Linked DNA regions of Oryctolagus cuniculus. The protein of the gene in region 1 interacts with the protein of each later gene in a pairwise test. Links are inferred from orthologs where the notes say so. Each region holds a gene or a part of one and is shown in the gene's direction. Other genes may lie near its edges.

Evidence for each region.
Region 2: the proteins of TRIM54 (region 1) and SMARCE1 interact in binary tests that used the Homo sapiens proteins (3 or more experiments, as listed by UniProt). The two-hybrid records come from large-scale screens. The link is inferred for Oryctolagus cuniculus from reciprocal best matches to the Homo sapiens genes TRIM54 and SMARCE1.
Region 3: the proteins of TRIM54 (region 1) and CDKN1A interact in binary tests that used the Homo sapiens proteins (3 or more experiments, as listed by UniProt). The two-hybrid records come from large-scale screens. The link is inferred for Oryctolagus cuniculus from reciprocal best matches to the Homo sapiens genes TRIM54 and CDKN1A.
Region 4: the proteins of TRIM54 (region 1) and TCEA2 interact in binary tests that used the Homo sapiens proteins (3 or more experiments, as listed by UniProt). The two-hybrid records come from large-scale screens. The link is inferred for Oryctolagus cuniculus from reciprocal best matches to the Homo sapiens genes TRIM54 and TCEA2.
Region 5: the proteins of TRIM54 (region 1) and KLHL38 interact in binary tests that used the Homo sapiens proteins (3 or more experiments, as listed by UniProt). The two-hybrid records come from large-scale screens. The link is inferred for Oryctolagus cuniculus from reciprocal best matches to the Homo sapiens genes TRIM54 and KLHL38.
Region 6: the proteins of TRIM54 (region 1) and IQUB interact in binary tests that used the Homo sapiens proteins (3 or more experiments, as listed by UniProt). The link is inferred for Oryctolagus cuniculus from reciprocal best matches to the Homo sapiens genes TRIM54 and IQUB.
Region 7: the proteins of TRIM54 (region 1) and TSHZ3 interact in binary tests that used the Homo sapiens proteins (3 or more experiments, as listed by UniProt). The two-hybrid records come from large-scale screens. The link is inferred for Oryctolagus cuniculus from reciprocal best matches to the Homo sapiens genes TRIM54 and TSHZ3.

The regions. Positions count from the first base shown.
Region 1 is NC_091433.1:175,699,399-175,703,561, reverse strand, and holds the start of TRIM54 (tripartite motif-containing protein 54), read left to right. Parts: upstream 1-1,238; 5' UTR 1,239-1,694; coding exon 1,695-1,862; intron 1,863-4,163. UniProt on the Homo sapiens protein: May bind and stabilize microtubules during myotubes formation.
Region 2 is NC_091448.1:21,904,138-21,908,536, forward strand, and holds the end of SMARCE1 (SWI/SNF-related matrix-associated actin-dependent regulator of chromatin subfamily E member 1), read left to right. Parts: intron 1-395; coding exon 396-606; intron 607-3,562; coding exon 3,563-3,771; 3' UTR 3,772-3,836; downstream 3,837-4,399. UniProt on the Homo sapiens protein: Involved in transcriptional activation and repression of select genes by chromatin remodeling (alteration of DNA-nucleosome topology).
Region 3 is NC_091436.1:132,894,347-132,896,829, reverse strand, and holds part of CDKN1A (cyclin-dependent kinase inhibitor 1), read left to right. Parts: intron 1-838; 5' UTR 839-849; coding exon 850-1,294; intron 1,295-2,483. UniProt on the Homo sapiens protein: Plays an important role in controlling cell cycle progression and DNA damage-induced G2 arrest. Involved in p53/TP53 mediated inhibition of cellular proliferation in response to DNA damage.
Region 4 is NC_091442.1:143,409-147,662, reverse strand, and holds the start of TCEA2 (transcription elongation factor A protein 2), read left to right. Parts: upstream 1-1,443; 5' UTR 1,444-1,571; coding exon 1,572-1,643; intron 1,644-3,039; coding exon 3,040-3,102; intron 3,103-3,307; coding exon 3,308-3,413; intron 3,414-4,005; coding exon 4,006-4,096; intron 4,097-4,254. UniProt on the Homo sapiens protein: Necessary for efficient RNA polymerase II transcription elongation past template-encoded arresting sites.
Region 5 is NC_091437.1:149,374,251-149,378,689, reverse strand, and holds the start of KLHL38 (kelch-like protein 38), read left to right. Parts: upstream 1-1,461; 5' UTR 1,462-1,788; intron 1,789-1,928; exon of another isoform or gene 1,929-2,428; 5' UTR 2,429-2,429; coding exon 2,430-3,779; exon of another isoform or gene 3,780-4,439.
Region 6 is NC_091434.1:159,631,220-159,634,936, reverse strand, and holds part of IQUB (IQ motif and ubiquitin-like domain-containing protein), read left to right. Parts: intron 1-1,956; coding exon 1,957-2,142; intron 2,143-3,717. UniProt on the Homo sapiens protein: Adapter protein that anchors the radial spoke 1 (RS1) complex to the A microtubule of outer doublet microtubules in axonemes. The triple radial spokes (RS1, RS2 and RS3) are required to modulate beating of the sperm flagellum.
Region 7 is NC_091449.1:24,912,771-24,917,212, forward strand, and holds the start of TSHZ3 (teashirt homolog 3), read left to right. Parts: upstream 1-1,477; 5' UTR 1,478-1,865; intron 1,866-2,560; exon of another isoform or gene 2,561-2,689; 5' UTR 2,690-3,348; coding exon 3,349-3,388; intron 3,389-4,442. UniProt on the Homo sapiens protein: Transcriptional regulator involved in developmental processes. Functions in association with APBB1, SET and HDAC factors as a transcriptional repressor, that inhibits the expression of CASP4.

The DNA.
Region 1 (4,163 bases):
TTAACCTTCCTTTGTTGCCACTGTGGACCAAGAACTCCTACCATCAGCCTCCTTCCTAAGCCAAGACACCTTTCTGGGGCTGGTCTTCCTCCTCTGGTGGCCAGCTCAGCCCTGCCACCTCGAGTCAGCCCAGGAGAAGTGAGTGCTTATGCGGCTTGGGGCAGTTATCCCACCTGTGGACTGTCCCTGGACCCCAGCTGCCGGCACAGCCCCCGCCAGCCTGGCCCCCGGGGTTGGCCAAAGTTCTTGCTTCAGCATCTGCTCGCCCCCACCCTCTGGACTCGCCTTGTGCAGGCCGGTCGCCCTGCATTTTGTCCTTAAAACAGGACGGGAAACGTGACGAGGCGAAGGCTGTGCCTTGCAGACTCTTTCCCCGCTCTTCCTTCTTCGTCCTGCCTCTCCACACCACCCGTTCTCCGCCCACTCAGGGTCAGAGCCTAGGAACTCCTCTAACTTCACCCTTGTCTGGGAGAAAGGTGAAGGAATGTTAGTAAATAAAAGAACTTTTGACAATCCCAGTGCGTGTGTTGGGCCCAAAGAAGACAGATGGTGCCAGCGACAGAGGAAGAAGGCCGTAGGAGAAAAAGCGAGAAAGCCACGTGCGGCGAGCCTGGTTCGCAGGGCAGGAGTCTGGGACACGTGTCGGGCCGGGCAGACGCTGCCCATGCTCTGCGGCTGTGGCTTTCTCGGTGCTCTGAAGTTTCCCTGGAGACTGACTGCCTGGTGCTCAAAATAGGTCTCTGGCTCTCAGGTCCTTTCCGCCTGCCCAGCATCTCCCAGTTTCCTAACAAACTGAAATTCCGTGGAGTGGCCCCAGCAGTGGGTGGGCGGGCCAGAATCCCACTCTCTCAGGACTGCAGCAGCCACTTGCAGCCTCCTGAGCTTCTTTCCCTAGAGTGAAGAAATGGCTGGGCAAGCACAAAACTGGGCCAGACGTGTTGGACGAGAGGCTGTCTCCCTAGTGTCCGGTGCCCTGTTCTGAACCACTTGGTCTTGGGGAGCAGGAGACTGTCATTGACCCTCTCCGAAGGTCTGGCCAGATCTCTCCTCCCACCCTGAGCCATGAACCATGCTGCCCCTCATACAGGCCGCTTTAGTCTGTGTCACTGTTCTGGACCCCAAGCCAGAGCACGGGGCCAGGGGCTCCCAGGAGCCTCTGGATGACTGCTGGCCCACCTTTCACCGTCAGGAGTGACGCTCACCCTGCCCTTGCTAGAGGGAGCCGCCCATCCCTGTGTGAGTCAGGGTCACTCACTGGGTGACAGCTGGGGCTCGCCTTACACGAGCTAAATCGGGAGCTGGAATGTCATGCAGATGCCCCTCTCTCCCCACCCCCACAGTAAAATTAATCTCCTCTCTGGGGAGTAAGGGACAGACAGTGCTGCCCACAGAGTGGACAGGAGAGAGTCGTTTGGGGGACAAAAGAGAATTTAGAGAAGGGGAGAGAGAGGCCGGGCAGGGTGCAGGGCAAAGAGCAGAGAGACCGAGAAGCGTCTGGAACCCGCGCCCTACGGACGGACGAGGCAAGTTGTGAGAGGAAGGGACAGGAGCTGTAGCAGAGCTATTTCCAGAGCGAGCAGCCGAAGGGAACAGAGCGTCTACAGACTGCTTAAGGGGCGCGAGGAAGGGTCCCGAGGCAGCGGGAGAAGGCCAGGACCAGGGCCGCGGCCAGGGCAGGCACGATCGCTGAAGGGATGAACTTCACGGTGGGTTTCAAGCCTCTGCTAGGGGATGCGCACAGCATGGACAACCTCGAGAAGCAGCTCATCTGCCCCATCTGCCTGGAGATGTTCTCCAAGCCGGTGGTGATCCTGCCCTGCCAACACAACCTGTGCCGCAAGTGCGCCAACGACGTCTTCCAGGTGGGCTTGGCGTGGAGACCCGGAAGGGGGTGGGCGGGGGGCTCCGGGAGGCGGGCAGTAGCTGTTGTGGCTGAAGAGGGGAGGAGCCGGGCTCCTTCCTGTGGATCCCAAGGTAAGCATGAGTCAGCAGCCGCCCAGCAGGCTGGCGGGTACAGCCTGTACTGGGGCAGCAGCCGGGAGGCCGGCTCCTACCCCCGGGGGCTCCGTGAGAGCCTGCGCTCGACTCTGCATTTCAGTCTGGGGCTTCGGACTTTGAGAACAGTGTGGAAAACCGGGAGAAGGAAAGGGTCAGTGAGAGAAGGAAAGAGTAACCCCCATGAGAAAGCACCGTCCTCACACAGAGTGGTTTGTTCTGAAGGCGAAGCCCAGCGAAATGAGACATGGCAGGTAGGAGACTAGGAACCGTCCCATCCCCAGCGTCAGTTCATGCCTGTGGCCCTCCGAACTGCTCAGCACGGAGGCCTCCCCTGGCTCGTACAGAGAGAAGGCGGAGAGGTTGTGTTCCCCAGCGTACACCCCAGCGTACAGCCAGGTTTTATTTACCGTGGTGGTGGAGCAAAGCATAGTGAAGCAAACTCACAGAAGCCATTTTAGTCGCAGGCTTCAAAAATACAAGGAGCACGTGCCAGGCTGGTCTATAAAGGGGCTTTCTTTTCTCCTTTTTTTTTTTTTTTTTTTTTTAAGATTTATTTGTTTATTTCAAAGGCAGAGTTACAGAGAGGCAGAGAGAGAGAGAGAGAGAGAGGTCTTCCATCTGCTGGTTCACTCCCCAAATGGCCACAATGCCTAGAGCTGGGCTGATCCAAAGCTAGAAGCCAGAAGCCAGGAGCCAGGAGCTTCTTCTGGATCTCCCACACTGATGCAGGGGTCCAAGGACTTGGGCCATCTTCTACTGCTTTCCCAGGCCATAGCAGAGCTGGATCGGAAGTGGAGCAGCCGGGACTAGAACCAGTGCCCATAGGGGATGCTGGCACTGCAGGCAGCAGCTTTACCCACTATGCCACAGCACTGGCCCTTATAGAGATGCTTTCTTGACCTATGCTGTTGGGGAAGGTTCTAGTAGGCTATTGGAACAGATCTCAGGGAACATAAGGGGGAAAACACCCAGAAATCTGCCCTTGCAAATGATGTAAAAACCCGGAGTAGACTTGAGCTGGATGGCTTAGCATGCGTGTCAGTGACATGGAGACCATGAACAAGTGTTCTTCATCTGCATCACAGGTTTGGAGAGAATGTATTGAACACAGGTTTTTTGTTTTTGTTTTTGTTTTTTAAGATTCGTTGTATTTGTTTGAAAGGCAGAGGGAGAGATAGATCTTCCATCTTCTGGTTCATTCCTCAAATGGCTGCAACAGTTGGATTTGGGCCAGGCCAAAGCTGGGAGCCAGAAGCTTCATCTGGGTCGCCCCCATGGGTGCTGGGACCCAAGAACTTGGGCCATCTTCCTCTGCTTGCTTAGGTACATTAGGAAGGAGCTGGATCAGAAGTAGAGCAGCTGGGAATTGAACTGGTGCCCATGTGGGATGCCAGCGTTGCAGGCAGTGGCTTAACCCACTACACCACAAAGCCAGCCCCAAACATGGGTGATTTTTAACTTAATCAAGAAAATGCTTGGCTTCTTAGGTTGCTTAGGGCAGCATGTTTGGGGGGAAAGAATGGGCCAAGCCAGGCCATCCCATGCTGTGCCTTTGACCCCCCTACTGTGTGTCTGTCCTGTGCCCTCTTTATGTGTGCCCAGCACCCCCAAGTCTCTCCTGCCATCTCCCCATTGAGGCCACTCCCACCTCCTATCCTTCTAAGTATCCAAACCAGCCATCATTGGCCCGAGAGTCTCACAGCCAGTAGCTTTACCCAGATCAGGGTTCCGGACCAAATGCTGTGCCTGCTCAAGTCCTGTGTGAGAAGCCACACCTTGCCTGCCACCTGGGTTTCTCCCTTGGACTAAGGAACTCCCTGAACACCTATCAGGCGAGATCTCTAGGAGGAGATGGCAGGGAGATTTGCCATCACTTCTCATGGGTTTGTAGTGAAGCAGCCTCTTACTAGTACCTAAAATACATAAAAGCAAAAAGGCTGGGAGGCACAGACAATGCAGCCTGTCGAATAGTGGTCATAGCATCCTTCGGCAGAGGGACCCAGGCCTGGGCGCCACACGTGGAGGCCAGCAGAGATTTGAGTCACCTCCTGGCTCAAGTCAGCCTTCCGCGTCCAGGCACTTGCTTGGGTTCCAGCAAGCTCTAGGATACTGGTTTGGGATGGCTCAAGTCAAACCCTGTGCAGACCATTTGGGAGTTGGGATGA
Region 2 (4,399 bases), on another chromosome or scaffold:
GTGGCGCAGCAGGTGACATCCCACATCAGAGCGCCAGTTCCAGTCCCAGCTGCTCCACTTCCAATCCAGCTCCTGTTAATGCGCCTGGAGAAGCAACGGATATTGGCCTGGCCCAGTCTGGCCCTGGCTGTTGCGGCCATTCAGAGAGTGAACCAACAATTGAAAAATCCCTCGTTCTCTCCCTCTGCCTCTCCTTCTAACACTATGCCTTTCATATAAATAAATAAAATTCTTAAAGTACATCAAAATTTATTTTTTAATTCTGTGTTTCTGAACTTTTTGAAATACCCACGTGTGATTGCGTAGGCAAGGAACACCCACTTTGAAATGATTTCTCTGGCTCAGAAATGATAAGGAAAGGGCATTACTAAAGTTCTCTCTTCTCTGACTGCTAGTTGTGCGGTTTGAAGGTAGAAGTGGATATGGAGAAGATCGCAGCTGAAATCGCACAGGCAGAGGAGCAGGCCCGCAAAAGGCAAGAGGAGAGGGAGAAGGAGGCAGCGGAGCAAGCGGAGCGCGCCCAGGGCAGCGGCATTCCCGAGGAGGAGCACGCAGCCAGCAAAGCCGAGGACAAGAAGGACGACGAGAGCATTCCAATGGAGACGGGTACGCTGCCAGCCGCACCACGAGGGTCAGGCCGCGGCCGGTCTTTCCTTCCAAACAGCCCCCAAGGTCACGTGGTTCGTCCCACGTTCTTGGTCTCTGGTGGCTGCACTTGGAAGGTTGGGGTCACTGAAGAATGGCAGTGGAGGGTTGTCTGCTGTGTGGGATCAGAGGCCTTGGGGGTCCCCAGTCTGGCTTGGGAATACAAAGTGGAATGGGAGAGCAGTTGAGGGCACCGGCTCTGGAATGAGATCAGGTCTGGGACTGCGTCCCTGCCGGCCAGCCCTGCAGCTTGGGTGAGTTACTCCACTGCGGCCTCCTCACTCGAAGCATCCTAGCAGCCGCCTGCAGAGATCTGCTCCTGGATCTGGTACAGAGCTAGCGTGCAGTATTTTAACCCTTAGTGCTAATACTGTTTAAGCAGTAGTTAGCACTTTTCAGAGTTACAGAGAGGCAGAAGCAGAGAAAGAGGTCTTCCATCTGCTGGTTCACCTCCCAGATGGCCTCAGCGGCCGGAGCTGGGCCTATCAGGAGCCAGGAGCTTCTTCTGGGTCTCCCATGCAGGTGCAAGGGCCCAAGGACTTGGGCCATCTTCTACTGCTTTCCCAGGCCATAGCAGAGAGCTAGATCGGAAGAGGAGCAGCCAGCTGGGGCCAGTGCTGTGGTGTAGAAGGTAAAGCTACTACCTGCAGTGCCGGCATCTTGGTTGGAAGAAGCTCCTGGCTCCTGGCTTCTGATTGGCACAGCTCCGGCCATTTGTGGCCAATTGGGGGTGCATCAGCAGATGGAAGGCCCCCCCCCTGTAACTCTGACTTTCAAATAAATAAATAAATCTTTAAAAAAAAAAAAGCAGAGCAGCCAGGACTCAAACCGGCACCCATATGGATGCCAGCACTGCAGGCGATGGATGTACCAGCTACGCCACAGTGCCAGCCCCCACAGTTACCACTCTTAAGACTGTCTTTGCTGTGTAGGACCACCTTCAGCAGAGTAGACCCTGCAGACCAGATCCTGCCTGCCCCCTGGTTTTCACCAATGGGTCTTTACTGGACACAGCCGTCCCATTGTCCCCATGTCGTCTGCGGCTGTGTGGCGGCGGCAGAGCACTGAGTTGCAGCAGAGCCTCCCTGGGCCACAAAGCTGGACACAGCCACCAGGTAGCCATCGCCAGAAGGTGACAGGCCCCAGCCTAGAAAAGTTTACTTCAGGGGCACTGATTGTCCTGGTAACAAATCTCGGGGGGTAACAAATAACATGGCCATCTTTGGTAAATTAGTCCGGCTTACATGGATTATTACTTCAAGTGTTGCGATTACCTCCCTTGTTGGCACTGCTTTGACCCTGCCTAGTGCCCCCTGTACACAGGCCTGAGCGGAAGGAAGGCATGGGAAACAGCCAGGAGTTCCCTGCACGGTCTTTGCAGGCGGAGGCTCTGCAGCCGTACTTTGCATTAAGCTGACAGACGCCTGGGAAACACTTAATGGAACATAGATTTTTTTGAAAAAAAAAAATTTATTTATTTGAAAGGCAGAAATACAGAGAGAGAAGGAGAGAGAGATCTTCATCTGCTGGTTCACTCCCTAAATGTCCAGGACTATGCCAGGCTCAAACCAGGAACCAGGAGCTTCCTCCAGGTCGCCCACGTGGGTGCAGGGGCCCAGGTGCATTAGCATGGGAGCCGGATCAGAAGTGGAGCAGCCGGGACTTGAACCTGGGCCGCGTTGCAGGCTTGGGCTTACCTGCCTTCTGCACCACGGCACCAGCCCAGAATGTGGATCTCCAGGAGGTGTTTCTGAAAAGCTTGATTCACCAGATTAATGCTTGGGAGGGCTTTAAATGTTTATTTTTATTTATTTGAAGGGCAGAGAGAGATTTCTTCCTTTGATTTACTCCCAGATGCCCACAACAGCCAGGTCTGGGCCAGACCGAAGCCGGGGGCCAGGGTTCTGTCTGCATTTTGCGCACTAGGGCAGGGGCCCAGGTGCTCTTCGGGGGCCTGGTCTGCTGCCCACGGGTTGCACATTAGCAGGAGGTGGGAAGGGAAGCAGTGGCAGGGCTTGGTCCCGGCCCAGCTCCTGCCCAGTCGGGCCGTCCAAGCGGGCAGCTCCTGTTTGCCCTCCTTTCTGTTCCGTGCGAGCACCTTCAGCTCGGCACGTCGGGAGCATGAGCATTTTGTTGTGGTTAAAGCGAGAGTTTGAGAGTGAGGGTAAGGTTCTCTGCTCATGTTCCAGCTAGATAGGGCGCCCGGCCCCTGCCTGTTTGGTCATCTGTCAGTGAGCCGTGTCAAAACGCCTAGGGCTTCACTTGGGTTCTGGCTGTCTAGCTTCGAAGGAAAACTGAGGAAAATTATCAGGGACCGTTAGAGCAGAAACCTCGTGCTGTTGAACGTCTTGCAGAAGACAGCCCAGGACTTCTGTCTCGTGTCCGAGATTCCAGCCTCATTCTTCCCACGTCGGCTTGCTCCGCATTTAATCCAAAGCCCGCTCTGTCCAGCGGAAATACAATGGGAGTTACATACGTACTTAAAGTTTTCTACTAGTGACGTTTTTAAAAGTCAAGTCAGATGAAAGTATCTTTAACAGATAATTATGTATGTGTATTTTCTAAATAATACCATTCAATATGTAATCAACATTTTAAACAAAATTAACCTTTTTTACTTTTCTTGTATTCTAAGTCTTTGAAATCCTGTGTGTATTTTACACTTAGAGCACAGCTCAGTTCAGCAGCTTAATTTTCGTCAGAAGTAAGTTAATCTGTATTCACGTAGCAGAAATTTCTGGTTAGAGAGTGGCTTTCCACGCCCAGGATCATTCTGCACATGCTAGAAATTCCTCCGTAGCCCTGGCTCATCTCAGGTGCCTGTTACCTGCCCTCCTGGGCAGCACAGCCGCGTGCTGTCAGCGTGATGAGGGCCCATGTGTGTCTGGAACTGACGGTGACACATGTGTGATTACAGAGGAGACGCACCTGGAAGAAACGACAGAGAGCCAGCAGAATGGCGAAGAAGGCACGTCCACTCCCGAGGACAAGGAGAGTGGGCAGGAGGGGGTCGACAGTCTGGCCGAGGAAGGAACCAGTGACAGTAACACCGGTTCGGAGAGCAACAGTGCCACGGTGGAGGAGCCGCCGACAGACCCCATACCGGAAGATGAGAAAAAAGAATAGATGTTGCCTTGTTTTATGTGTTCTAAATACTTTTTTAAATGAAAAAAAATGTTTTTTGGTTTTAATGGTGTTATGTGGTTTGTGTATTTTTTTCCTTGTCCATATCACACCACCAAAGGCTTTTTGGACCATTTAGCATCACGAGCCTAACGGCAGTCACCTTCCTTAGACGTTGAACATGGCTCTTTTCTTTGGATCTTGTTTCTAGCCCTCAGCTACGGAAAGCCTCAGAATTTAGGTTAACTGAGAAAGCATTCGCCTCCTTTAGAAAATCATCCTTTGATGCTGCAGAGTCTACTCTACAAATGCCTTCCTACAGCTCACTTGGGTGCTTCCCTAAGCCATAGCTTTAACCCTCTCGGTCCTGGCAGCAGCCTCCCGAAAGTCCCCTCTCGTGTACTTCTGCAGAGAGCAGCTTCTTGATGCGATCATGGGTCCGTGTGTATTTGTTCTCACCCTTTTTATATTTAATCAACGTCCGACTCCAGGTGTGTGTGAAGGAGTGGCGTGCAGCCTGCAGCTGACTGCACGTGGGTCGTGTTGATCCCGGGCAGCTCCCAGGGTTGGAGTAGCTCCCAGCTCCTGAAGTAGTCGTTGCAGTGGACACGGCACACACGCTGTCTTTTTT
Region 3 (2,483 bases), on another chromosome or scaffold:
CTGTCAGCTGCCGTCTGGAGGGGGAGAGGCAGGGAGGAGGCCCAGCCAGAGCTGCAGGCACAGAGGCGTCCTAACACCACGGTCTTCTCAGCGCCTTGGCCAGGTGCTGCCCAAGCATGTCCCCCACCTCTGAGACTGTTGCTGTCACCGGCCTCTTCCTAGAGAGGAGGAAAGGGGAGCGCAGAGACGCTAAGCCACTGGTCGGGGTCGCCCCGCGGAGCCTGCCCTCCAACCCAGCCCCTGTCACACCTGCTGCTGCTCGGCCTGCCTGGAGGGACTCCTGCCCCCACCCTGGCACTCTCTCAGCTTCCATAGACCAGGAAACGGAGGCCCAGAGACATGCAACGTCTACGTGGGAAGCCGTGGGGCTGGGATGACAGCCTGCGTGTTTTTACTCCAAAGCCCGGGGTTCACTTTTCCAGGCAGGAATGATGGGGGAGGTTGTGTTGGGAGGCTGGAGGAGCCCCTGCCTACGCCTCCCTCTGGGAACCGACTTCCTGGCCAGGACTATCACTGGGAAACTACTGGACTCTGGCAATTCACACCCCTGAGGGCCACCTCAGGGGAGGACAAATTGATTTTAGCTGATAACGCTGATGGCAAACAGGACCCTGCTCCCGGCCAGGCCATTGCAGTGAGGTCATGCTGTGGACATAAGCTCGCCCCGTGCTGCCCATGCCCCCATTGACGTCAGGGTGCCTGGCTGGCTGAGTTCTGCCCCCACCTGGGGTCTGTTGGGGGGTGGGGGTGGATGCCCCGCCCCAGCCAGGGTGCGGTAGAAAGTCCTTGTTGGGAACCGGGAAGCGTCCTCACCAAGGCCACCCTTCCACTGTCCCAGCCCTAGGCAGCATGTCGCAGCCGTCGGACGAGGCGCCACAGCCCCCGCACAGGAGCAAGGCTTGCCGCCGCCTCTTCGGGCCCGTGGACAGCGAGCAGCTGCGCCGAGACTGCGACGCACTCATGGCCGACTGCCTGCAGGAGGCCCGCGAACGCTGGAACTTCGACTTTGTCACTGAGACGCCGCTGGAGGGCAACTTCGCCTGGGAGCGCGTGCGGGGCCTGGGTCTGCCCAAGCTCTACCTGGCCCCGGGGCCCCGGGGTGGCAGGGAGGACCCGGCAGGGTGCAAGCGGCCGAGCACCTCAGCCGCCCTGCTGCCAGCGGCTCAGGAGGACCACGTGGACCTGTCGCTGACCTGCACCCTGGTACCTCGCTCCCCGGAACGGCCCGAGGAGTCCCCAGGCGGGCCTGGTACCTCTCAGGGCCGGAAACGGCGGCGGCAGACCAGCCTGACAGGTGAGGTCGGGTGTGGGGAGGGATGCTAGGGGGGACTGGGGCCCTCGGAACCCCCCCATGCGGGACCTGTCCTGTTTGCTTCAGCTTGTCCCCGAGAAGGGAAGCCGCCTAGGTGAGGCTGCACACAGGGCTGTAGCCAGCGTTTGTCCAGGGCGTATTTATTACCCGGCAGTCCTTGCTGAGCGACTGAAGACAATCTTGCTCCCCTTCCAAGGAGACGAGGCTCCGAGAGGGAGAGATTGGCCTGAGGTCGCGCAGGGCGTGTGCTGGGGAGAGGACACTGGCCGTAGCGCCATTCTGGCCTCTGCAAACTTTATTCCCTCCCCTCATCACACACGCGTCCCTCCCTCCCCCCACCTATCCGCCGTGTCCTCGTCGGCATTTTTCTACCCTGGATCCACTGTTCCTTCTGACCTTGACACGGGCCGTCTCTCCCACTAGCATATCAGCCCCACAAAAAAGGGATCTGGGCGTCTCTTGTTCATTGTGGAGTCCCCAGCCTGGAGAGCAGTGTCTGGTGGAGCAGGTGCTCCATGAAAGGTGAATGAGTGATGCTGGCATTTGGTCACCTATTACGCCGGGCCCTGGACCAAAGCCTTTAGAGAGACCATTGATTTCCTCCTTAGAGTGCACTCCCACGGAGAAGCCTCATTTGCAATTTATTACTTATTCATTCAAGAGACACAAAGAAAGCTTCCTTCTGCTGGTTCCCTCTCCAAATGTCCTCAGTAGCCTGGGTTGGGGCTGCAGGCAGGAGCTGGGAATTCAATCCAGGTCTCCCACATGGAACGCAGGAAACCGATTTCTTGGGCCATCAGCGGCTGCCCGGAATTCCAGAGTCGGCATTAGCAGGAAACTGGAGTCGGGAGTGAGAGCCGGAATAGAAGCCAGGCACCCTGGTGTGGGAGGCAGGCATCCTCCTTGCTGGGCTGGAGGCGCACTCCCACGCCTCGTTTTGTAGGTGAGGCAGCTGAGGCTGAGGGGTGCAGACGAGCGTCCTGTGGGCCATTTTCAGTTGGGTCTGAACTGATGGTGATGACAATGATGACTCCTGTGGACCTGGGCCAGGACACTTTCTGTGGACTGGTGGACTGCCTCCCACAGCGCTGACCAGCAGAGTTCTATGCAGGGGCGGGCCTGTCCAGTGCAGGGGTCCCTGCGTCCCAGGAACCAGATCTTTGCTTGTGCT
Region 4 (4,254 bases), on another chromosome or scaffold:
GTCCTCGTCATCTCCCTCCCTCCCTCCCTCTGACTTATTTGAAAGACAGAGTGACAGAGATCTTCCATCTGCTGGTTCACGCCCCAAGTGCCTGCAAACACCAGGTTTGGAAGAGGCTGACGCCAGAAGCCAGGAATTCCCGGGGTGTGTCAGCAGCAGCTGCGCCAGATGCAGGGCTGGGGCATCTAGGGGCCCTCGAGTCAGCTGGAACCCACCCCTCTCCCTGAGGCCTGCCTCTCCGGGCAGCCTGCGTGGTTGGCACCACCTGGATGACAAGGGTCTGGCTTGGACGATTTCTGAAGCCATGATTTCTGGGTCCCGAGGCGGCCCCAGTACTGGCCCACAAGACCCAGCCAGCTCCTGGGTGTGGTCACTCATCAGCCGTCCAGGGTGGCTGAAGGATGTGTGGCTCCATCCTCCCTGCTGCCCTGACGTGGCTGGACGCCCACCCCCGCCCTGACTACGGGCAGGGCAGCTTCTGCTGGCCTGGGAGACTGGGGTGTGGTGTCCGCCCACCATACAACCTGGGAACAGCCACAAGGAATTCATGCTTTTCCTCGTGGTTAAGGTGAGTCCCGCACCTGCCACCTTCAGTGCCGCTGAGCGCCTAAGGCCTGGTGTGCCCAGCTGCCCCCAGCAGTCCCTGGCCCGCTCTCTGCAGCCGCCAGCACCCCATCACTAGGAGGCAGGCAGGCACCGGTCCTGGCCCCGCACCTTGGCACTCCTCAACTCTCCTGGGCCTGGGCCACCCTCTGTGTTGTGTGGTCTGGCCCCTCCTGGGGACTTCAGCTGTGGCAAAAGCCAGTCTCTCGCTTATCCGGGTCAGTGAGTCAGCTTGCCTCACCCCAACAGCAGCCCTGCCAGGCACAGGTCAGGGGTCGGGGCGTGGAGCCGCCAGGTACAGGGACAGGGGTCAGCTTCTGGCACCCCTTCCCCATCAGCCTGACCAGAGGAACCCACCCTCCTGCCGGCTGTGGGGCTCCCCAGTGTGGGCGGGCAGCTCCGGGAGCCAACCCCGGGCAGAGGCCCTAACGACCCAGGCTGGGTTCTGGGACGGCGCCGTGGTCGCACGGACCGAGGGGCAGGGTTGGCGGGGTCGGGGATGCTCGAGGACAGAGGAGGGGGAGCCGGCCGTGAAGGGACCCGGAGCGGCCTAACGGGCCCGGGCCGTTCGGGGGGCGGGGCTCCTGGGGGCGGGGCTCCAGGGGGCGCGTCCAGCCCGCCCCGCCCCGCGGCCCTCGCTCAGGGCGGTTTGCGGGGCCCGAATTCTCCGCAGGAGGTCGCCGCTCCCAGAGGACCCTTCCCAGCAGGCGGGGCCGTGAGTGCGGGGGCGGGGCCGGGGTCGGGGTCTCCACGGGGCCTGCGGCGGGGGCGAGGTCGGCACACTCGGGCGCGGGGCGGGGCCGGCGGGGGCGGGGCCGGGCGGGCGCGCGCGAACTACGCGTCCCAGGGTGCAGCGCGCGGCCGCGGGGCCGGGGGTTTGAGCCGAGGGTCGGCCCGCGGCGGCGGCGGCGGCGGAGGCGGCGGCCGGGGTCGGTCTGAGGCGGGCGCGGGGGCGCTGCCCCGAGGCGATGACGGGCAAGGAGGAGGAGATCGCGCGGATCGCCCGCAGGCTGGACAAGATGGTGACCAAGAAGAGCGCGGTGAGGGGCGCGGGCCGCTGGTACCCCCGCCCCGTCGAGACCCCGCCGAGGCCGCCGCCCCGCGTCAGGCCCGGGAGCCCCCACGGGGAAGGACGAGAGCCCCGGCAGAGACCCCTGGGACGCCGGGAGACCCCCGTGCCCGGGGCAGGGACCCCCGCCCGGGCCGCCCCGCCCTCCCCCTGCGCCCCGCAGACCCGAGGCCCGGCCCGACCCCCGGCCCAGGAGCCCCCGCCGCACGCTGGGCCCGCCCCCGGCCCTCGCCCCCACTCACGGGCTGCGGGGCCGAGTCCTCGCCCCTAGGGGCCCGGCGCCTGCGGCAAATGCCGCCGCCTCGACCGGACCCCACGGCCGGGCCGGTCCTGGAACGGCCTCACTCCCCGCAGCACCCCTGGCGACCGCCCAGCACCGCCGCGGTGGGGAGGGGGCGAGCATCCCGCGGACCGGCTCCGTGCACGGGACCTGTGCTGTCCCCGGGGCTGCGAGCTCCCGGGGCGGCCCCAGACGGCTGAGTCATGGGCTCCGGGACCGCGTGGGGGTGGGGCGGGTTCTTGTGGATGGGGTTCTCCAGGAACGGGCCCGACTGTCAGTCATCCTGGAAGCAGCACCCCCACCCCATTGTTTTCTCACCCCCCCAGGCCTGCAGCAAAGTAGGGGCGCTAGACTGGCTGGGGGAGACTAACAGGGAGGGGAGCGGCTGGGCAGGACTCGCTCCCTGGGAGGACAGGGAGGGAGGCCAGCACCTGAGAGCTGAGAGCCCCTTTTGGGGTCCGGAGACCTGGGAGAGCCAGCTTCCCCGTGTGCAGTGCCGGTGGGAACGCGGCCCTGGGAGATCCGAACTCGGCACAGCGCAGGAGCGGGGCCTGCCTGGGAGAGGGATCTGCGTGGTCACCCCCGCCCTTCTGGTCGGAGAGACACACACCGCACTGAAGGGATGGCGCCCGCAGGGAGCAGTGGGGGCGGGGGAGCTGGCCCCCCCGAGTCCCACCTTTAAGGAACAGAGGCTTGGCTGGGCACAAGGCATTGCAGGGAGGTGGGGCCCACACCCATCAGGGTCCTGGACCTGGGGAGCCTGGAGGAGCGGTGCCCGAGGGGAGATGCCCCTGTGTGTGACAGCCTGAGCCCTCCCCTACCTGGCCATGGCCCTTGGCGTCTGTGCTCCTGTGGTTTGTTCAGTGACCCCACATGGCTACGGTGAGGTTGTTGCGTGGATGCTGGACGGAAGGTCACGGGACCATAGGGACAGAGCCTGCAGAGCCACTTGGCTCCTTATCCTGGGTGCACCGGCTGGTGGGCGGAGCCCTGGTGTCTCCAGGTGGAGGCACTGAGGCATGGCCTATGGGCAGGAAGAGGTGGGATTGTCCACTGAGCTCTAGGAAGCCCCCCTTTCTCCTTCCAGGAGGGTGCCATAGACCTGCTGAGGGAACTCAAGGCCATGCCCGTCACACTGCACCTGCTCCAGGTAGGTCCTTGCCTGCCCCCGGCCTGGGGCAGCTCCTGGGAGAGCAGTGTCCAAGGGCACACTGATGGGCACAGGCCTGTTCCTGGCTCTGGCTCTCAATGAGACGTTTCGATATCCCACCCTGTCCTCGTGGGTTCTACTGGGAGATGTCAGAGTCCCCCTGGGGGCTCCCCACCACCCCCCGACCCAGGCGGCTTGTTCACAGGCCACTCGTGTGGGGATGTCGGTCAACGCCCTGAGAAAGCAGAGCTCAGACGAAGAGGTCATCGCGCTGGCCAAGTCTCTCATCAAGTCGTGGAAGAAGCTGCTGGGTGTGGGTCGGGCAGTGAGGGCTCTGTGCTTGGAGGAGGGGTGCCCAGGGGGTGCTGGCCTCCTGCTTGTCAGGCACAGTGCTGCCTGGAGCTGGAACTGGACCGGGGCCTGCCTTGGAGGTGCTGCAGGAGGCTGGGGCCCCCAGAACCTGCTGGGCCGGGCAAAGCTGAGGTGCCCAGGGCCAGGGGGGCAGGAGGTGGCCCAGGGTGGGGGCACTGGTACGAGTGGGCTGTGCCACTGGGACAGGAAAGCAGCCATGCCTCTGGGCCCTGGGAGGGGGAGCCTTCCTAGGCTGTCCTGGGCACTTACCTCTGTGAGGCAGCCACGTGACCTGTGTGGCCAATGGACACATGCGACACACATGTGGGCTGTCCCCAGTGCAGGCCTCCCAAGGCGTGGGGTTCAGGAGGAGCCTGCTCTGTGCTGGAGGGTGGACCCAAAGAGACCCCCCCTAGGCAAGAAAGGGTATTGGGGTGGTGGCCTCCTGGCTGGGGCAGGGACCGGGACCGTGGCCGAAGGCGGTGGCCAGGGCTCTGCTTTGCTGGAGTCCTCTGTCCCCTTCACTCACTGCCTCTTCTCCGGAAACTGCAGACGCTTCAGATGCCAGAGCCAGGGACCGGGGGAGGGGTGCGCCTCTGCCTGCCTCGTCCTCCAAGGCCGCCTCCGAGGCCACGGATCCCAGGTAGAGCACCTGGGGAGCAGGTGCCGCTGTGACCCTGGGCGGTGGTCAGGGGAAGCGTTGGTCAGCCCAGTCCCACCTGGCTGGGTGTGCCTTGCGGTCAGTGAGCTGCTCTGGGTCTTCCCCTGCCTGCCTACCCTGGGGCCTGTCCTGGACCTGGA
Region 5 (4,439 bases), on another chromosome or scaffold:
AAAAAAAAAGGCAAAGGGAAAGGCACAAGGAGAGGCTAAAGGTAGAACAGGTGTCCAGTGCTTCCAGGACCTCGGCCGCTGGCCTGTGTCATCAGCACCAGCCCTGACACCAGCACCACAGCCCCCCATCTCCTGCTCCTCGCTTGCACCTCCATGGGGCTCCTTGGCTCAGGCCTGCAGCTCCTAATTCTGCCCTCCAGGCCCCAAGCCCCAGGGAGAGATTTCGGATACACTTCCCGGACCTGACTTTCTGAAGTCTCTGGGGACATGATCCACCCCTATGGCCTGCAGCTGTTGGGGAGAGCGATCCTAAAGGCCAGCCCAGCCCAGCCCAGCCTCCCGAGCAAGGACCAGAGGCAAACACGCATCTGCCAGTTGTCTCACGGAGCCAGAATAAAGATATGTGAGTGGAAGACCACATGTTCTGGGCTCCTGCAGGCCAGGGGTGCCCTCCAAGGGCACAATATGGTGGACTAGAAAACGCTGAGCTGCCTTGCCACTGGTTACTGCACTGGTGAGACAGGTAGCTGTAGTGGAGGGAGAGAGACTCGCAGCATGGACCATGCTGCAATGGTCTGAACAGGACTTAGGCAGGAGTCAGGCTTCCCTGCCACTCATGGCTGGAGAAATCATGGCCCACCCTGGAGGCAGCAGCAGGACAGACCCCCAGCGATCATGGCCCACCCTGAAGGCAGGAGCAGGACAGACCCCGAGTCCCCTTACTCTTCCTCGTGGGTCTCAAGCCCTCCATTGTGGCTCTGATTCTTAGAACTAGAGGCTGCCTCTCCTACCCCATCGCCAATGTTTTCTCACCAGCCCCTTCCTCTGCTTTCTCTTCTCTCCCTCTCTCCATCTCCCCCTCTCCTTTTCCTCCACCTCCTCCTCCTCCTCCTCTTCTCTTTCTCTCTGGAGCAACATGTCTTGCAGAAGCCAGCCTGTTGTAAGAAAACAGACAAGTCAAACAGGAAAGGAAGACGGTTTGAAAAACTGGCTGGAGAGCAATCAGCAGGTACTGGGGAGAGGCAGGTGTAACAGAGGAACACAGCCACCTTAACACAGACGCTCCCAGGTTAAGCAGGCCCAAGAAAGGCCTTTCACCAAAAAAAAAAAAAAAAAAAGCATTTAAACACAACATCTGTCACAATTCCGTCACCTTGGAGTCTGTCCATGATCCTACTAGGCAGCTGGTGGCAAACAGAGATCCACGGAGCAGCACCCGTGGGCCAGTGATCTGCCTTCCCTGGGACCACTGCCACCCTCTGCAGGGCTCAGCACCACGTCCAGTGGCTGCCTCCCCGCAGGGCACAGCAATCTGTTTACAGACATCTAGAATTCCCAGGCACTTTCAGGACAAGGGACTCAGGGAGGTTCCAAGTGGGCAGCAGGGCCTGCTCTGAGAGAGGCCGTTGCTCCTGGTCTATTTATGCCGATGTAAACACTCGCCAAGGAAACAAGGCGTGTGGGCATGCGCCGGCCCTGCAGGTCCCGGAGCTACTGCAAAAGGCAACTGGGAAGTCACATGTCGTAACAGTGGAAAGTACATACGCAACTATTCTTAGCCCTGGAATGTATACACTGTCTGCCTGCCCAGCGGCCCTCGCACAGACCTCCAGAAAACTGTGAAAGTGCCCTCAGCATAAACAATCCAGAAGTCTCCCAGGACAGATCAGGTGCCACAGAAGCCGAGGTCTGGGGGTTTGTGCTTTCGCCTGGCGCTCGAGGTGAAAACTCTCAGGGGAAACGAGGCAGACCCGGCGGCCACGGTGGATGTCACTCCACCGACACAAGGTAAACACCCCTGGTGTCCAGCTCTCTGCAGGTTGCACTGCCAGAGCGCAGTGAGAGAGCCAGGGTCTCCTGGCCAGTCTTTTGCTTTTAAGTTCTTCTGTTTTGAAGACAAAACCCCCCAAAGACTCTATGAAGTCAAGTTTGTGAATATCTCAATTTATTGCTCAGGTCCCCTTTTATCCCTCATTTCACTGAGCAGAGGGCCACACCCCCAGCATGTCATCCTCGGGGAGTGACTAACACGCAGAAAGAGGCTTTCTGATAGGTTTGCTAACCAGCAGACATGCTGGGGACCTGTGCAAAGGCTCACACGCTCCCGCTGCACGAAGCCACAGCTGCTGCCTTGCTTCCGCTGACAGCCAACTAACTTCCAACAGCTTGCAGGTTCCGGTCCCACCCCCACCTTGGATTAGCTGAAGATACCCTAACAATCTCCCCCACCAAATAAAAAGGTGTCCAATTTGAGGTCTGGGGTGTGGGCAGCCTCCCTTTTTAATCTTCACAATGTGCCATCCAGGTGGTACCTGCTGGCATCCTGATAGATGGACACAGGTGCACTGGGTCTTGGAGGCCCCAGCCCATGTCGCCGAGAGGGACTTCACTCGGGCTCCCTCTTGGGGTTTCTGCCCCCTCTCTGTAGGATGGACGAGGAGTCTCCAGACGGGCTGCTCTTCAAAGACCCTGACTTCTCCTCCGACTTGTTGAGGCAACTCGATGGCTTCCGACAAAACGGGATCCTGACGGACGTGAGCATCTGTGCCGGGGCCCAGGAGGTCCTCTGCCACCGAAATGTGCTGGCCTCCAGCAGCCCCTACTTTAGGGCCATGTTCTGCAGCCACTTCCGGGAGAGCAGTGAGGCCAAGGTTCAGCTGAAAGGCATCGACTGGCCGACCCTGGAACAGATCATAGCGTATGTGTACACCGGGCAGGTGCACATCGCGGCTGAGAACGTCCTGCCCTTGATGGAGGCGGCCTCGATGCTACAGTACCCCAAGCTGTTTGAGGCCTGCTCCTCGTACCTGCAGAGCCAGCTGGCCCCTGGCAACTGCCTGGGCATGATCAGACTCTCGGAGATCCTGAGCTGCGAGACCCTCAAGAAGAGAGCCAGGGAGGTGGCCTTGACCTCGTTCCCGGAGGTGGCCAAGTCGGCTGACCTGAAGGAGCTCTGTGCCCTGGAGTTGAGAGACTACCTTGGAGATGATGGGCTCTGCGGGGAGGAGGAAAAGGTGTTTGAGGCCCTCATGGTCTGGATCAAACACGACCTGCAGAACCGGAAACGCTACATACAGGAGCTGTTCGCGCAGGTCCGGCTTCAGTACGTGCACCCAGCCTTCTTCCACCACTTCATCGCCAACGACGACCTCCTGCAGTCCTCGCCCGCGTGCCAGACCATCCTGGAGACGGCCAAGACGCAGATGTTTTCTCTGCACGGCACCAGTGCTGCAGGCTGCAGAGCCCTGGGCCACGTGCCCCCTAGAAACTCTTACCAGGATTTCCTCATCCTCTTGGGTGGGAGGAAAGATAACCAGCAGACCACCAGGGACGTCCTGCTGTACGACAGCCAGACCCGCCAATGGCACAGCCTTGCGAAACTCCCCACCCGGCTGTACAAGCCCTCGGCTGTGGCCTTGCACCGCAGCGTCTATGTCCTCGGGGGCATGGCCGTCAGTGCAGGCAAGAGCGTGGTCAGTCACAACGTCTACGTCTTCTCCCTGAAACTCAATCAGTGGCGGCTGGCGGAGCCCATGCTGGTGGGCCGCTACTCCCACAGAAGCACCGCTCACAGGAACTTTATCTTCTGCATCGGGGGCATTGGAGACGGACAGGAGCTCCTGGGCTCCATGGAGAGGTACGACAGCCTCTGCAACGCCTGGGAGAGCATGGCTAGCATGCCGGTGGCGGTTCTGCACCCCGCCGTTGCTGTGAAAGACCAAAGACTCTACCTCTTCGGGGGAGAGGACATCATGCAGAACCCTGTGCGTCTCATCCAGGTAAATGGCCCTTCCCATGTCCAAGAGCATGAGTGTGTTTGCAATGCATACATGCACACACACGTGTGTGTATATATACATGTACCACATATATGCACACACATACCAATATACATGCCTACACAAGCATGCACATACTTATGCCAACATGCATGTGATGCACATACATGCATTGCACAACAGTTTTGTATGTGCAACACACATGCATACATACATGCATGCACACACACAAACACACTTGTCATTTACAGGGACAGGAAGGCCAGAGAGAAAAAAATTTTTTTCAATTTAAGAGTTCTTTTCCATAAGACTAATACATACAAAGTTATATCAAATCTAACCTCTATCCACCAAGAGTTTATCTTTATTTGAGAGGGGAAAAAAAACTTATGTACAAATCCAAACTAAAACCTATTGAATGTCACACAGTGAAGTCTTCTAGGAATTTGGCAAATGCCCCAACCCAAGTCCATGAAGTCTTAGAAGAAGATTCCCACATGTGGTGTATACCTGTTGTCAAATCCACTTTAACCTGACCTCAGATCCACGAAGTCAATAGTCTCTTGTCATTTATGACAGTTCACAGAAATGGGATTAACCATTTATTTTGCTGCAAAAAAAATTGCAAATCCATGCATCTAAGGAGTCTTCCAAAAGTTC
Region 6 (3,717 bases), on another chromosome or scaffold:
AGGAACTTGTCGCTCCCCGTCTTCGTGGAGGAACGACACAGGACCCTGCGTTGTTCTTTCGTCTGCTCGGCCCTCCCCGGGTTTGCTGCTGGTTCCTCCCGGGTTGGCTACCGTCCCTCCACCTCCATGGAGGGGCGGGCCCCCTGCCACTTTCCCCACTTCCGCAGGGGAGCGGCACACCGCCAGCCGGCTCTTTCGGGGGCTGCTCAGGTGTTCCTTCAGATGTTCCTGGTGCATGTTGTCTCTCTCCTCCTTTATAGTCCTCTTCCGCCAATCCCAACTCTGCTACCCACACGCCGAGTACGCTGCTCTCCTCCAATCAGGAGCAGGTCCTACAGTTTATTGGTTGAACTGGAGGCAGCTGTATAGAAGCTGTTTCCTCCTCTCCCAGTGCCATATTGTGGGAGAGCAGATGCATAGAATAAGTCTTAATTCCAGTAACTTAGTCTAGTCCGAGTTGCTCCCAGTTGCTCCCCACAGAACTAAAATCAATCCTTGGAGCAAGGACCATCTCTTCAATAAATGTTGCTGGGAAAACTGAATTCACAAGTGCAGAAGTATGAAACAAGACCCCTCCCTTACACTTACAAGAAAATCCACTCAAAATGGATCAAGGACCTAAATCTATGACCTGATACCATCAGATCAGTAGAGAACACTGGGGAAACTCTGCAAGATGTAGGCAGTGGAAAGAACCCAGAAGCACAGGCCATCAAAGCCAAAAGGAGACAAATGGGACTACATCAATCTGAGAAGCTATTGCACTGCAAAAGAAACACTTAGCAAATGAAGAGGCAACCGACCCAATGGGAGAAAATATTTGCAAACTGCACAGCTGATAATGGTTTAACATCTAGAATCCATAAAGAGACCAAGATACCTAAAAACAAAACAATCCTACAAAGAAAGGGCAAAGACTTGAAGAGATATTTCTAAAGAAAGGAAATTCAGATGGCCAATAGATATATGAAAAAAATTCTCAGGATCACTAGGCATCAGGGAAATGAAAATGAAAACTTCAATGAGATTTAACCTCACCCCAGTTGTAGACTGGCTCTCTTACAGAAATCAACAAAGGACAAATGCTGGTGAGGATGTGGGGAAAAAGGTACCATAATCCACTGTTGGTGAGAATGTAAAACTGGTGCAGTCACTGTGGAATACAGTATGGTGATACTTTAGAAATCTGGATATAGACCTACCATGTGATCCAACTATCCTATTCCCAAATGAAATGAAATCAGCATATGAAAGAGTTATATGTACTCCCATGTTTATTGCATCTTGATTCCCAATAGCTAAGATATGGACTCAACCCATATGTCCATCAACTGAAGACTGGATAAAGAAATAATGATATATATATACACTTTGGCATACTACACAGCAGTAAAAATAAGAAAGAAAAAGAAATCCTGTCATTTTCAATAAAATGGGTGAAACTGGAGACCATTGTACTTGATGAAATAAGCCAGTTCCAAAAAGACAAATACCATATGTTCTCCCTGATCTGTGATAACTAATAGAGAATCTAAAAGGTAATCTATTGGAGTGAAATGAACATTTTGAGATTTAATGATTGCTTACAGCCCCTGTCTCCGCTGCTGAAGACAAGTGTTTTTTTCTCTTCATTCTATTTGTTGAACTCTTTACTTAGTTAGGGTTAATGTTATGAGCATAAAATTAACTGAACGTAAATCATTGTAAAAAATAAGAATGTGAATAAGAGAGGGAGGAGGAAGAAGGCTGGGAGCATGGGCAGGAAAGAGGGCAGGGTGGGAAATTTCACTATGCTTCTGAATCTATATGTAGGAAATACATGAAATTTGAATACTTTGAATAAAATTTAAAATAACATATTCAATATAATTTAAATATTCCCTCAATTAACATAGTAATTTTAAAAAAGTATTTCTGGAAGAAAACTAATATTTTCAAACTTATTTTGACATGCAGCTACAGGATATTCAGTACCTGACAGAGAACATTTGGGCATCGCAGTCAGTACTTAGTGATTGGGATGATCTCAATGATTTGGTCATGGTCAGATGGGATAAGTCCTTGGAGTGGTCCCCCTGGAACTGCATTCTTCTTACCAAAGATGAAGCAGCCGCTCATCTCAAGCTAAGTAGTGTTGTACAGGTAAGAAAGGCAAACTGTTTATGAGAATTTAATTGAATCAATATGGTGATTAGAGCTAATTTGACTGTTTTAAATTGCATTCCATGCATAATTGAAATATTTCCATGTGATTAAGAAACAGAACTCATGGATAAACAGTAACAAAATGTGTTAATGGTATGCATGGCAGAGATTAACATTAAAAGGGAACTAAGACAAATAAAAGGTAAAGATCCTCTCAGGATCCCTCTCCCTCCTGATAGCAAGTTCAAGTACAATTAATTCTATAGAAATTTCCATGAAGGCAGGGATTCTGTGTGTTTTTTTTTTTTTTTAAGATTTATTTATTTATTTGAAAGTCCAAGTTACACAGACAGAGAAGGAGAGGCAGAGAGAGGTCTTCCATCTGTTTGTTCACTCCCCAATTGGCTGCAACTGCCGGAACTGTGCCGATCTGAAGCCAGGAGCCAGGAACTTCTTCTGGGTCTCCCACATGGGTGCAGGGCCCCAAGGACTTGGACCATCCTCCACCGTTCTCCCAGGGCATAAAAGAGAGCTGGATGAGAAGTGGAGCAGCCAGGTTTCAAACCAGCGCCCTTATGGGATGCCGGCGCTTCAGGCCAGAGTGTTAACCTGCTGTGCCACAGTGCCAGCCATAGGGATTCTGTTTAATTTATTTACATCTATATTTTTAATACTACAGTAGTGCCAGTCACTGTGTAGGGGTTTAGTAAGTATTTTTGTAATAAATATGTGAGTAGTAGTGTGAGGTAGGTTTTATAGAACCCAACATCTTTCCTTCTTGGCGTAATCATCACAAATTTGCCTAAAGGCACACTCAATTCTCAAGTAAATCTGGTTCATAATTTTGAATTCTATTTGGCAACCATATTGATGAGAATGCCTTTTTTGTTTTTGTCCAACTAAGTAGGAGTGGAGAAAGGACTGAAAAAATTAAATACCATTTAATTTCAGTAACTTACAAGATGCAGGCTATAAAACACTTTTATGAACACAATTGAGGGGCCCTTAGTGAGTTCTTAGCTCCATTTACACTAAGTCAGCCCAAGATTCCAAGAACTGTTACTAATTCTCTCCCTTCTATTAATTAAATTGATTTACCTTTAATTCTATGCAGGATGTTAGCTAAGAGAAAACAAAGAAATGACATTAAATGTAATAGTCATTTTATTAGTGCTATTCCTTGCCTGTTTTTTTCTTCTGTGAGGGAGGTGTTGGGAGATATGAAGAGAAAAAGCTAAGAATTAAATTTTTAGCTATTTTTTCCAGTAGTTTTTTGGTTTTAAGAAGCCAGGCTAGGAACTGATTCTCTCTACAGATTGAAAGAAAGGGCAGCAAGAATTTGAAGTTGTGTTAAATGTTATATTTAGTAAGCTAAGCTGCCTTATAAATATTTAATTACTGAAAGCAAAGCCAATACTGGCAATATCATTTCATCTAAGACCCGCATTGAGATTGAAGTTCATTCCCAAAGTGCTGTTCATTCCAGTGCTGTTCCAATTAAATCCACACAATTCCCTTTGTGTATTTAATCAAATTACTTCAGTATCAAATTAAATGTTCTATTCACATGCA
Region 7 (4,442 bases), on another chromosome or scaffold:
TGGCGAGGTCAGCATCTTGGAGAAGCGGGCCGGGCTCTGCGCAAAGCACGGACTTCTCCTGCCTTATCCCCCTAACGAGTGAGTGGCAGCCCAACTGCCGCCCGGACGCCACTGCTCCCGCAATCGCACCCTTAGTTCTCACAGGGTCCTTGTTTCCGCCCCCCTCCCAGGCTCCTCTCTGGCAGGCCTGGAGCACAGCAGCCAGGCGGCGGCCGGCAAAGTTTCAGGGTGCGGGCCCCTGGCCAACACGGGCGGCGACCTCGGCGCCCCAGCCCTGGCCCAGGTGCAATGCGCGGCAGCCCCAGCCTTCAGGGAGCTCCCGCGTCTATGCAGTACTCGGTGCCCATTTGGGAAGCCTCCCTCCATTCGCTGCTAACCACACCCAGCCCTTATGGAGAGGGCAGAGGACACCTGGCGAAATAGGAGAGGGCTGGATGCGCACCGCCAACCACTCACGTTGTGCCGGCCCGGACACGGGGAGGAGGGGGGAGGCGCGTGCGGCTGAAACAACACCGGGGAGACCAGAGACCCCGGCCGTGCCGCGCCGGGCAGGAACCCCGCCGGCGTGTCCCAGCGGGGCAGCGCGGGCCGCGGTGTGCACGCCGCATAGCCCGTGTGGTGCGTGACGGGCTGTCGCCGCAATGTGCAGCCCGGTGACACTGATGGATGTGCCAATGGCTGGACGGACAGATGTTGGGGCGGATCGCACCGCGCGCGGCGCCTGGGCGGGGGAGGGCCAAGCAGTCCTAGGGCGGCGGCGGCGGCGGCCAACGCGGAGCCCCAAGCTCAGGCCGCGGCCCGCGGCGGGAGGGGGCGCGGGAGCCGAGGTGGGCCTAGCGGCGAGGGGAAGGGCAGGAGGAGGGGAGCTGGGCCGGAGAGAACTCCCTGGCGTGCAGCGCGGCGCGCACACTACCTCCCGTGCGCCCGGGAGGATGGGCCGGGGCCCGGGGCCGCCGACCCGCGCGGTGCCCACCTCCCGCAGCCGACAGTCGGGCCGCCGCAGCGGCGTCGGCCAACTCACCCGTGTCCTCGCTCGCGGGCAGCGCCTGTCGCCCACGGGGCCGCCTTTCGGGCCGCAGGCGCCCGGCGCGGGAAGCCCCCCGCCCCAGGCCCGGAGCCCCGCAGCACCCCGCCTCCCGGCCCCGCCCGGGGCCCGCAGCCGCCAACTCGGAGCGCTCCCGCGTGCCGGGGCCCGCAGCCACCGCATGGCCGGAGGACAGCGGCGGCGCCTCTGCGTCCCGGGGGCATCGGGGCCGGGCGGTGCGCAGCGGGGAGCTGGGATCTTACCGTCAGAGTAGACCGCGGGCTCCCGGTCTACGAGAGAAGAAAGCATGCGGTGAACTTTTAAACAAACTTGCAGAAACAATCACAGAGAGAAAATAAAAAGGAGACAGGGCAGAGGAAGAGGGGGGAGAGGAACCAAAAAAAAAAAAAAAAAAAAGGAATAGAAAGAAAAAAAAAAGAGGAAGGAAGGAAGGAGGCGGCCACGGCTCGAAGCTCCGGGAGCGCTGGGGCAGCCAGTCCCGGGGCGCGGGGCGCCGGCCCTCGCAGCGGCTGCGGGCCTCAGGGCCCGCGGCAGCTCCGGGGACCCAGCCTGCGCGCCCCGGCGCAGCGCCGCCTCAGGGACCGTGGGCCCCGGAGGCCCCGCCACCGCCGCCCGGCAGCGCCCGGAGCCGGCCCCGCCGCGGCCGCCCCATTCCCGGCCCGAGAGCCGGCCCAGGGAGACGCAATCGAGCCCGCAGCGCATCGATGCGCCGCCGCCCGCGCCGCTCGGGCTCCGGCTCCTGCTCCCCCGCCGCCGCCGCCACCGCCGCCCGGGGGTCGCCCCCTTGAGCCCCGGCCCACCCGCGCCCTCGCCGCCGCCAGTAAGTGCGCCCGCGTCGCTCGGCCGCCACCGGCGCGGCCCCGCCAGCTCCTCCTCCCCCGCGGCCCGCCGGCCGCACCCGCCCGGAGCCTCGGCGACCCCGATCACCCGATCAATAATCAATCCCCCCGCGCGCACTCCCGCCCGCAGGCCAGGCGCGCGGCGGCGTGGCGGGCCCCCCACTCGGGGGCGCCCCGGGGAGGCGAGGCGGGGGATGGGCGCGCGAGTTCGAGTTTCTTCTCCCGCCCCCGTCCCGCCCCGGGATCGGGCTGCGCGGCGGGGCGCCCCGGGGGCGAGGGCGAGGGGCGGGCCGGCGGGGCCGTGACCGTCCCGAAGTCAGCTGAGGAAACTTGGGAGTCGCCCCCTCCCACGCCGGCCCCCCGGGACGCGCCCGGGAAAGTTTGTCCGCCGCCGAAGGGGGGCTTGGGCAAGGGGCGGCGGCGGGTCCCGGGGGAGGAGCCCCGGGAGGCGCGGGGCCTGAGGGCGGCCCGCACGCCTCCTCCCTCGAGGGCCACAGGGCATCCTCCGGGGCCGCGGGACGGCGCGGGCCGAGAGCGGGGCGGCCGGGGGCGGCCCGGGGGTGGGGGGCGAGGCCGGCCGGGGAGGCGGCGGCGCGGGCAAGGGGCCGCGACCGCCCCGGGACGGGCTCGGCGGGGCCGGCGCCTCGCCCCTGCGTGGCTCGCTCCGGGGCTGAGGCGGAGGGGCGGCGCCCCTCTGCCCGGCCTGGGCGGGGGTCCCGGGCGCCGGGGGTTGGGGGGGCCCGGGGCGGGGGCGCGGCGCCCCCGCGGGCGGCCGAGTGACACGATCATCTCCTTTTCCTTTAAGCTTGCCTGTTGCCGACGCCGCCGCTCCAGCCGCGCCGCGGGCAGAAGACTGGACCGCCGAGCCCCGGGCCGCGGTGGTGGTGGCGGCGGCGGCGGCAGCGGCGGCGGCGGCGGCGGCGGCGCGCCCCCCCTCCCGAGGCCGTGACCCCCTGCCCGGGGGCGGGGGGCCGGGGCCGGACCGGCCGGGGCCGCTCCCGCGCTCCTCCTCCCGCCCCTCCGCCCGCCTCCGCCGCGTCTCCCCGCCCCCCAGCCCCGAACCCGGCGCACCTCGTCTGGGGACGGGGCGGGGGGTGGGGGGGCAGGGCCGCCGCGGCTCCCCGCCCCCTCCTCCTCCGGCCTCCGGAGCGATTTGTCAAACTTCCCATTCCGCCGGCAGCGCGGTCCTCCTCCTCCTCCTCCTCCTCCTCCTCCCGCCCCCTCCCCCGCGCTCCTCCCTCGCCCGCCCTCCTTCTTCCCTCCGCACGTTCGGGGAGCGCGGCGGAGCGCGGCGCGGGGGGGACGCGGAGAGCCGGGGCGCAGCAGCAGCCTGCTGGCGGCCGCTCTCCGGGGGGAGCAGCGAGCAGGCCCGCCTCGCCCCCCCCGCGCGGGCCCGCCGCCCCTCCCTCGCGCGCTCAGCCCGGCGGCGGCGGCGGCGGCGGTGGCAGTCGCCGGAGCAGCATCATGCCGAGGAGGAAGCAGCAGGCGCCCCGGCGCGCAGCAGGTACGAGCCGCTTCCCCTTCCTCCCGCTCTCCGCCTCCTCTTCCTCCGCGCGCCCCGGCCGCCAGCCGCGTCTCCCGGGCGGGTGCGGGCGCCCACTAACTCCGGGCGCCCGACTCTCTGGCCGCTCCGCGCCGTGGGTGCGCGCGCCCCCCGGACGCCCCGCCGAGCGCTCTGCCCCGCGTCCCGCTCGCACCCACTTGGGGAAGCGCGCGCGGGCCGGGCCGGGCCGGGCCGGGCCGAGCGGACGGGAGGGGAGCCCCTGGTGTGTGTGTGTCTGTTGCGGGGCGGGGGTGGGGTGGGGTGGGATGGGGGCGGGCGGGGTCGCCTGAGTTCCCCGGGACACCGTCAGTGTCCTCCCGCGGCCAGCCGGCGGGGCACTGCCCGGAGCGTGCGGGGCGAGGGAGCCGGACCCTTGGCCGCCTCCCTGCCGCTCTGATCGACCCTGCGTTTGTCGGGCCCACGCCGGGCACGGCGGTGGAGAGCGGAGCGCGCGGGGTCTGGGTATTGTCAGCTGCCTGTCAGGCCGGCGCCCCGCGCGGGCACTCCCTCCGCCGGGCCCCCTCGCTGCGGGCACCGCGGCTCCCACCCGCGTCTCCTCCTGCTACACTTACTTCTGGGACGCGACACTACTTCTCCCCACCCCACCCCCCCACTTTATTTTATTATTTTATTTTTTGCCAGGAGTGTCAACTCCCGTTAAAAATGGGACGATTTTCTTCTTCTTATCATCGTTATTATTATTCTTTCCTTTTCTGGCAAAGGCATCGCTGAGAACAAAACAGAACCGTCTCTCTCTCTCACACACACAACATTATTTTGCAATAATGTCGGTTGGGGCCATGCTGCCTGGAAGAAGGGTTTCTGGCCCGTTGCCACCCTTGATTTGATGACTGATTGATCGCCCGTCATGCTGCTGCCTTTGATCTATTCATTCCCAATAAACATCAATAAATCACTTGCAATAGTGAGGCCGGGCTCTGTGACGTCAGGATGGCCCTGTCAGTGCAACTTGGGGAATTTGGGGCGGATTGCCCGGAGGACCACATATGGACGC